Coturnix japonica: one gene and its partner. The protein of the gene in region 2 purifies or fractionates together with the protein of the main gene of each other region. This does not show direct contact. Links are inferred from orthologs where the notes say so. Each region holds a gene or a part of one and is shown on either strand. Other genes may lie near its edges. The genes, in order: NPTN and plasma membrane calcium-transporting ATPase 4.

Evidence for each region.
Region 1: the proteins of plasma membrane calcium-transporting ATPase 4 (region 2) and NPTN purify together in Homo sapiens (co-immunoprecipitation; 3 studies listed by BioGRID and IntAct, with this or other methods). This does not show direct contact. The link is inferred for Coturnix japonica from reciprocal best matches to the Homo sapiens genes ATP2B4 and NPTN.

What each region holds. Positions count from the first base shown.
Region 1 is NC_029525.1:1,550,575-1,554,379, forward strand, and holds part of NPTN (neuroplastin), read right to left. Parts: intron 1,542-3,805; coding exon 1,370-1,541; intron 1-1,369. UniProt on the Homo sapiens protein: Probable homophilic and heterophilic cell adhesion molecule involved in long term potentiation at hippocampal excitatory synapses through activation of p38MAPK. May also regulate neurite outgrowth by activating the FGFR1 signaling pathway.
Region 2 is NC_029541.1:4,878,287-4,882,665, reverse strand, and holds the start of plasma membrane calcium-transporting ATPase 4, read right to left. Parts: upstream 2,879-4,379; 5' UTR 2,744-2,878; intron 2,637-2,743; exon of another isoform or gene 2,509-2,636; intron 1-2,508. UniProt on the Homo sapiens protein: Calcium/calmodulin-regulated and magnesium-dependent enzyme that catalyzes the hydrolysis of ATP coupled with the transport of calcium out of the cell. By regulating sperm cell calcium homeostasis, may play a role in sperm motility.

The DNA of each region.
Region 1 (3,805 bases), on a different chromosome or scaffold from region 2:
CAGGAACTGAAAACTCCAAACATTTTACCTGACACAGAAATTCAGAAGGAAAAAAAACCCACCCTTAGCTTGGAACAGAACTTCTCTAAGTTAACCTTGATAGGCAGTTTCTGTTAACCCATGAGCCTCCATTATCCTGATGCAATGTGCCTTTTTCACCACTCCAGCTGGTGCTTTTGTACAAGGCTGCTCATCAAGTTCAACTCTAGATAAAGCAAAGCCTTTAAATCTCAGACACAGCCACAATGAGTATGTGGTTATGTATTTAACAGCATCTATTTACAGAACTAGGGTATTTAACTGCAAAACCCAAACAAATAATGCAAGGTGGGTTGCAGGGGAAAGTAAAACAGAAGAACAAAAACACAGCTTCGTCAAAAGTAAGTACAGCTTCCATAACTTCGTGGTGAATTTTCACCTTGCCAAGGCAATGGAAACCTACAGCATTTCTTAATTCTGTGCCATTTGTGCAGTAAAGAGCCCACAGAACTGTAGCAAATACAGAGAAGCCAGGAAAGCACACAGCAGACAAGGCACAGTAGAGCAGATGCACTGTAATACAGTAGGCATTACCCTGCTCCTCTTGCTGGCGCTTGTAACAGCTAAAAAGGAGGCTCAAAACTGGTCTTGTTTCTCCAAAGAGAACCACAGGTGGTTAAGATGTTCCCTAAGTGCTTCCCAATTTAGCTTAGCACTGAACAGAAGGTTGTGCTTGAGATCCATTCTAGCTCCAAGAGAAGGAAATGAAAGCCTGGGAGGGAAAACAGCAAGGAAACCACATACACAGGACAGGTCTCTGATGGCATCACTGAGCACGTTCTCTATGCTCTCATCAACTCCATGTCTAGAAAGTCAGGAGTGCAGGAACCCTGGAAGGATTTCTGCTTGGTGCAAGCTACAGAGAAATGGAAGAGCTGGCCATATACATTCTGCTCTCCTCCACATCCGTAGATGGGAAGTAGATAAAAATCTGGAGCACACACACGTGGAACACATTAATGCTGAAAATACCGATACAGTGACAAGAAGCACGTGATAGAGCTCTGCTAGTTTAGTCAAGATTTGGTATCATTTCAAAGTACTGCCCTGACAACACTCAGAGAACAGTTCTTCACATTCCAAGGTCAGGAAATGACTAAACCAGCTGATTGCTGCAGTGATTTATCCCTGTACAACAGAAGTGCACAGCTGAAAATTCATCTTCAGGTAGATGTAAGCAGGACAGAGATAAGAGCACAATATACTGGAAGGGAAGGAAAGCAAGGCTTGCTGTTTGAGTCTCAGGATCCCAACAGCAGCTCCAAAGCTTAAACTCTACCAGTTTTGGCATTCTCCAACATAACACAAGATTTTTCCCAAGGAGACTTACTTGTATTCTGTAGTGTTTGAGGTTTTTCTAGTGCCAGGAATCTCTTCTCCATTCTTCACCCAGTAGCTGGCAGAGAGGGGGCTGGGGCTGGTGGTGAGGTTACACTGTAATGTGATGGCGGCCTGGCCATAAACTTGGATGGTTACGTCCTCGCTGGCATTGATCCTTGGCTCTGGAAAAAACAAGGCATTAAGTAGCAAGAAATCTTCACTGGTAGATGTGCCACGCTAATCTAAAATTCAAAGGAGGAAAGGGAAAGGAAAAGAGACTACACGAGGAACATCACTGCACTAATTTGGGAGACATCAAGAAAGTCACAATAAAACAGCTGACCACCAGAGCAAAGGCAACACCTTACGGATCAGCTCCCCTATATGGGAAAAGAAAAAAAATATTCATTTTAGTTGGTAACATTGCTACAGATTTCAGTGCAGCTCAATCATCTTTAAACACCGCTGAACAAGGAACAGGTAAATATACGTCCCAAAGGCATACACACAAGAAATCAGCTGTTCCTTTGGAAGCATCTTCAATCTGGCTATTAACTCCGCCTCTGCTCGCGCTGAGATTTAAAACAAGTCCATTTTCTACAGAGAACAGCCCCCCAAGGCACATCTTCTGAGTAACATTTCACTATAATAAAACTCTAATGGCTACCTAAGGAATCTATCCTGTCTGCACCTGCCCATCTTTCCACGCCAGACATGAGCATCGCTCTGCAATTACAAAGCCATGCGGAGCATGTGAGCTTAGTTACATTTCAACACAAGAGAGATGCAGAGCAGCTTCTCCTGTATGTGGAAAGAGACCAAACACCCACTGAATAGGACACGAGTCTGAAGAAAAACAGCTGAAAGCAGGCCTTAATGCTTAAGAATAAAATACAGGAATATACACGATGTTTAAACTGGAGTCAGGTTTTTAAAGCAACCTGAACCATAAACATTTATGATGAAAAAAGCGAGTCTCATTTCATGATGAGACCACACGTGGTGTTCCCTGCTGGCTGCAGCAGGTTGCAGGGCTCACAGTTACAAGCATTCACTTAAAAATAAAATAGAACAGAGTATGACAAAGCTTTAGGGAGACTGCGGGATTCTTTCCATTATTCTGATGGAAATACCTGAATGTGTTAACGAGGCAAGAGCCGCCTGCTCTGCAGCTGGGTCAGCACAGTGCAAGGTGAAGCTGGTCAATAATGAACATCTCAGTGATTTTTGCATGTCAGCAAAGGATTTTAATTGTTTTTAGGAGGGTTTTTTTCCCCCTTTGCCTTGCCATAAGATACTTGGAATACAAATGTAGTCATACCCAAGCAGCCTTCTGGATACTCATCTGACAAGTACTTGGAAAACAAGTTACTTAATGGAATGATGAGGGGGAAATAGCAGTCCTGTCAAAAAAACACTAATTTTCATTGCATAAAACATCCATTTATCCAATACAATGCTTTGATTATTGCCCAGAAAACAGGCATAAAAAATTATCTACCTCCTGAAAACCTGACAGAGCCACGCGGAAGCCTTGAATATCCTTTTTCTCCTTGTTTCAGTGTGTAGGCCACAAATCAGAGCTATTTAAATTACAGTTCCCATTTTACCCATGGAAAAACTGCTGCTACTGTAGCTGTGTTGTTTTCCCCCCCTGACACTTCTCACAGGTAACCCACAACTTTCTGAAGTACAATAGAGGACTGAAGTCAAATGCATCCACATCTTTGACCTGCGTTTATATTATCTTAGTTTGTAATAAATGAAAGCATTCAGGCAGTTCTAACTTCATTTAGCTCTGTAAGACAAACTGCACATGGAATATCACTGGGACAGTGACAACCAAAGATGTCAAACTGAAAGAACAAGATGCAAGAGTTTCTTTCACACATCTATCATTTGCACTGCTTGTTTTATGTACAATCCAGTTGTAAAATAACCCATAAGCAAAATTCATTATCCGAACCAGTCATGAGACTGAAGCCAGATCAAGCTCTTAGGTGCTAACTTTCAAAACTAAGTGGCACTTCTCTGCTCTTTCGATCCAGCTGATGTTCCGTTCTCTTTCCATGGTGCTGACGTCAAACAGAGCCCACAGCAAACCAGGCACCAACAGCTGGAAACTCCAGCCCCTCTTAGCCAAAATTCCTGTTTTGGAGGCAGGTTGTGCTCACACACAGAATACAGCTGGGAGACATTCGGGGCAGTGTCAGATACGATGCTCCCCATCCTCTTGGAAGTCAGCTTCTCCTCTTATCTGTATCCAGCAGGAGTTTGATGTCGAAGCGCTCTGCCTCCCAAACAACAGTAGGTCACATCTCTCAACATAAAATGTCACAGAGCAAAACCATTAAAATATTCAGCTCAATACTTCTTCCCCCACACACAAGCGTGAATTGGAATAACTATACCAGTCACAAGGCACTTAGCAATGAAGTCACGATAC
Region 2 (4,379 bases):
CCTGCCGGACAAACTCTTCCGGGTAGGGCTTCCGCCCACTGCTTTCCACATCCCAATCACTTCAGTAGGTGGGAATACACACGCTTGGGACATTAAAAATAATACAGGGACAGAGATTTTCACACAACCCGTGGATGCCAGAGCTCCGCTGGTTCCCAGCCCACTGCCGACTCATCCCTGCCACGGAAGGAAAAGTTTCTCCGTCAGCACAAACCACTGCCAAACCTCCACACCCCGCACGCCACTCCAGGGTCCCCGCGTCCTTCTGCATGTGCCACAGGGATGCTCGTGCCCCACAACCCACACCTCCTGCAAGCAAAGCTCAGCAGCTCCCCAGGGCAGGACGCCGCACAGTGTCTCACTGAGCTCATTGAGCGTCAGGGAGTCCCGTCCTGGTGAGTGACACAGGTGGGTAGCACACCAGCAGTGTGCCACGCACTCTACAAGTGCCAAGCATTTCCTTTTTTTTTTCCCCCTCCCCTTCCCTCCCCCTTTTCCAACTAACAAATATAGAAGTAGGGTCTATAAGACCATGGAAACTCTATTACTCTTCTGCATTAAAGCCAAAAGCAACTCATTAAAACATCAAAGTAGGATGTCTCATCAGCTCAGGAAGCTCCAGCAGGAGGTGGCAGGGATGCAGCTCCCACACAGCCCCACACTGGGCATGAGGAGCCAGGAGCCCCAGGCCGGGGCTGCAACCCCTCCTTACTGCAGGAGCTCTGCACACACTGACCCTGCAAGCAGGGATGCAGAGAGGTGCTCCATCCTACTTAAGCCCGAAGCTCAGAGCTTCTTATACCAGGAGTATCCCCATCACCACAGGACTGATGCCCACTGGCTCAGTGAGAGGAAAGAGGGATGGGCTCCCTCTCCTTGCTCACCCAGTCCCATTTATTTCCCTTTCCATGCACCAATTCTCCACCTGTACAACAGAAGAGACACCGCTGCCTCCACCACCTCAACCAGCCATCAGGCAGCAGCATCCCATGCTCATGTCACATCCCTGGGATCCAATCCCAGAAGCCTCCAAAAAGGCAGAGGAATTTGGGAGACAGCATCACCTCCATGCACTGCAGCAGCCACCCCTATGGATACGCATCCATCGCTCCAGCCATGCTGAGCAGCACAGCTTCCAGATGGCTCAGAGAGCAGCACTGATTTGCAGAACACAGCTGGGAGGGATCCAGGCTGGGGGGAGCAGCCAGCAGCAGCAGCGTCTGCAGCACAGGGCAGCAGATCCCTGCGGGCTGCTCACAGCACTGCAGCAACAGGCGGTGGAAATGTTGTGAGCAAACTGTGCTCACGGCACAGCAAGGGGAAATAAATTTTATGCATATGTATACTCGCGCGGATATACTTATATATGCACAGATTAATTAAGAGAGAGAACGAAAATGGGAGAACGCGGGGAACCAAGGGAAGCTGAGAGGGTGCACGCAGCTCCCGGGGCACCGCAGCAGCCAGGGAAGGCCTCGGGGAAGGGGGAATTCCTCACTCACGGCTCCACCCTGCTGCCTTCTGCCGCACAACAATGGCAGCGCGCAGCGGTCCCTCCCCGCAGCCGCTGAGCCCGGGGCCGGAGCGCCGCACGAGCGGATACGGCGATGCTCAGCGCGGAGCGCAGCGCTCCGGACAGCGGCGGGCGGCTCAGGGGAGGCTGCGCCCCGCGGGGAAGGATCGAGCTGGGCTGGGAGCGGGGAGAGCCGGGGGTGTTAGTTAGCCCCGCTCGTTCGCTGCTTAACGATTCAGGTGCGTTTCGGTGTTCACATTGAGCGCAGCGGCTGCAGCCGCGCAGTCAACGCGAGCGGTTACCGGGAGCGCTGCGCCCATTTGGGGGCGGGAGGGGGGGAATGCAGAGAGGTGCCCCGCCCCGCGGCGCAAACAGGTCCGCGAGCCGAGCAACCCCCCCGCCCTCAGGTCTCCGGAGATAAGAGGACAATAACCCATTGTCCATCCCCTCGCTTCCTCCCCGCCCGCATGCAGAACGACCGGGAACAGGGGGGCCGTGCAGCCCCCGCGGCCCGGACCGTGCCCGCAGCCCCTGCCCCACCCAGCGCTGCCGCAGGCGGGGAGCGGCTCCCAGCCCCGGGCCGAGGAGGAGCCGCCCCTGCGGAACCTCCCGGCGCTGCCCTCGGGCTGCCGCAAGGCGCTCCCCCTCCGACCCCGCTCAGCCTTTCCCTCCGGCCACGGCCGCATCCACGAGCTGCGCCCGCCCCCCCCACGCCGCTCTGCCACGCGGGAACGCCGCGCAACCCCCCCCCTCCCCCGGCTCCCCCAAGGGTTGTTCCCAAGGGCAGCAACAAGTGGTGGGCGGCTGTTACAGCCGGAGCGCTCCCCCCTCCCCACCGCCTCCCTCCCCCCCGCCCGAGTTCGCACAGCCCCGGGGTGTCACGGCCACCCCCCGAACCGCTCCGCGATCCGCTCGGACCCGGGAGATGCGCGTGGCCCCCACGCTCCCCAGATTCCGACGGCAGAACAACTCCCCGTCCCCCCGCTCCCTCCCACCTGCTGCGCCGGTCCCGTGTCCTTCCTCCCAACCGACGTTCCCCCACTGTCTCCAACAGCCGACCCCGCAGCAGCTGCAGCGTTATGGAAGGCGAAACCCGCGCGCTCCTTCCGCGGGACGCTCCCCCCCAACGGAACCTCGAAGGCAGCACCGCCGCCTACACCCGCCCCACCCAAAGGGGCACCCTGGGAATTAACCCCCCCCTCGCTCCCTCCGCCTCGGTCCCGCACTCACCGGCGCGGCGCCCCGTCCCGACTGTCGGCGGAGCCCCCGCGGGCGGCCATAAGGAGGGCGGCGGCGGCTGCAGAGCTAGCGGGAGAAAATGCTTGTCATGGCAACCCGGGCCGGGCCTGCCGGGGGAGGGGCTGCCTTAAGGTGGCGGCCCGCCCCGTCCGCTGCTTAAGGGGGACGGGAGGCGGCGGGCGGGGCTGCGTCCCCTGGGCGCTGCGGGGCGGGTGCGTGCTCGGGCGGTATCGGTGCACCCCGCGGACACTGCCCCTCTACCCCAGGAAGCACCGTCGAGTAGTACAGGTGAACCCCGGTGCCGGTACGTGTACCTCCATACGTCGTGGGCTTCCCCATAGGCAACCCCCACCACCAACCCCCGAGCAGTACAGATGTACACCCAGGAGGTGGGTGTCCGTGCAGTGTCACCCACGTGGAGCAGCTGCAAGCGGTGCACGAACCCGTGGGGACAGAGGACCCCCCTCCAAGCACGGTGGTCCGTGTGTGCCCCCCACCTCGAGCGGTACGTCCAGGGTGCGCGGCTGCAGGGCGGCATTGTGTGCACTCCTGGCACTGCGGATCCTCCCTTGGGCAGTGCAGTGCACGCACCACCAAGCGCTGTGCCTGCACCCCCAAAATCTGTGTACCCCCTTCTGCACATACTGCACCCCTGCTGTGGTGGTACAGATTTCCTCGAGCAGTGTAAGTTGCTCCCTCATGATGGATGCATCTGGGACACCCCCCAGCTCCCCTGGCAGTGTGGTCACTGCAAAACAGGATGCACAGAAAGTCCTTCCTGCTGCGAGCATGGGGCACAAAATCTCTGGAGCAGAGCTCGGGGTTCCTTGTGGTCACTGTCGTTGGTGACATGTGACGGGGGGGTGTGCCCCACCCTGCTACTCATAGGGCACAGCCACTGCTGTCCCTACAGCGTGGGGTGGTGGTGTCACCCAGGAGGGGTACAGCTGCTCCTTGAGGTGCAGAGCATGAATCTCAGCCCCTTGTCCAGGCAGAGCCAACCCTTCCCCCTTTTATTACAGAAGCAAAGAAAAAAGTATGCATTGAAACTCCACTGAAGCCCTGGAAATGCTGTGGCTGCAAGGAAAACGTAACACGGCATTGATGCAGCTATGCTGGTGTAATATTGGGTGTAGGCAACCTTAACTCAGCACTAATCCTGTTGTTTGGGCATGCAACCCAGTTCAAGTCAAACCAGTGTAACATCTGTGCGTGCACAAGCCCTCATTTAACACTTGTAACATTTACCCCTGCCCTTGAGGGCTGCGCCTCAATAACTTTGCATTCCTGAACAGTCCTGGGGGGGGTTCCTCTTTGGGCCTTTGGCAAGGGGATTCCTCCCTGTGTGTCCACATCTCTTTGCCGAGCTCTCAGGGCAGCGCTCTGCGCTTGTGCAGCTGCATGCAGCAATAGGCAACCTGCAGCCCTGCAGGAACCCCAGGTTGCAAAGCAGGTACAGTTATCTGAAATCAGCAGAACGAATGCAGAGCACCAGGCATGGCACAATCACAGCATCTCACTGGGACTCTACATGGAAGACAACAAACTGCTCCAGTTCTCTGCAGCAGGACCAGGGAAAGGGACCTGAGCTCATCACTGCTGTTTTCCTTGGTGCTGCTTTTTCCTC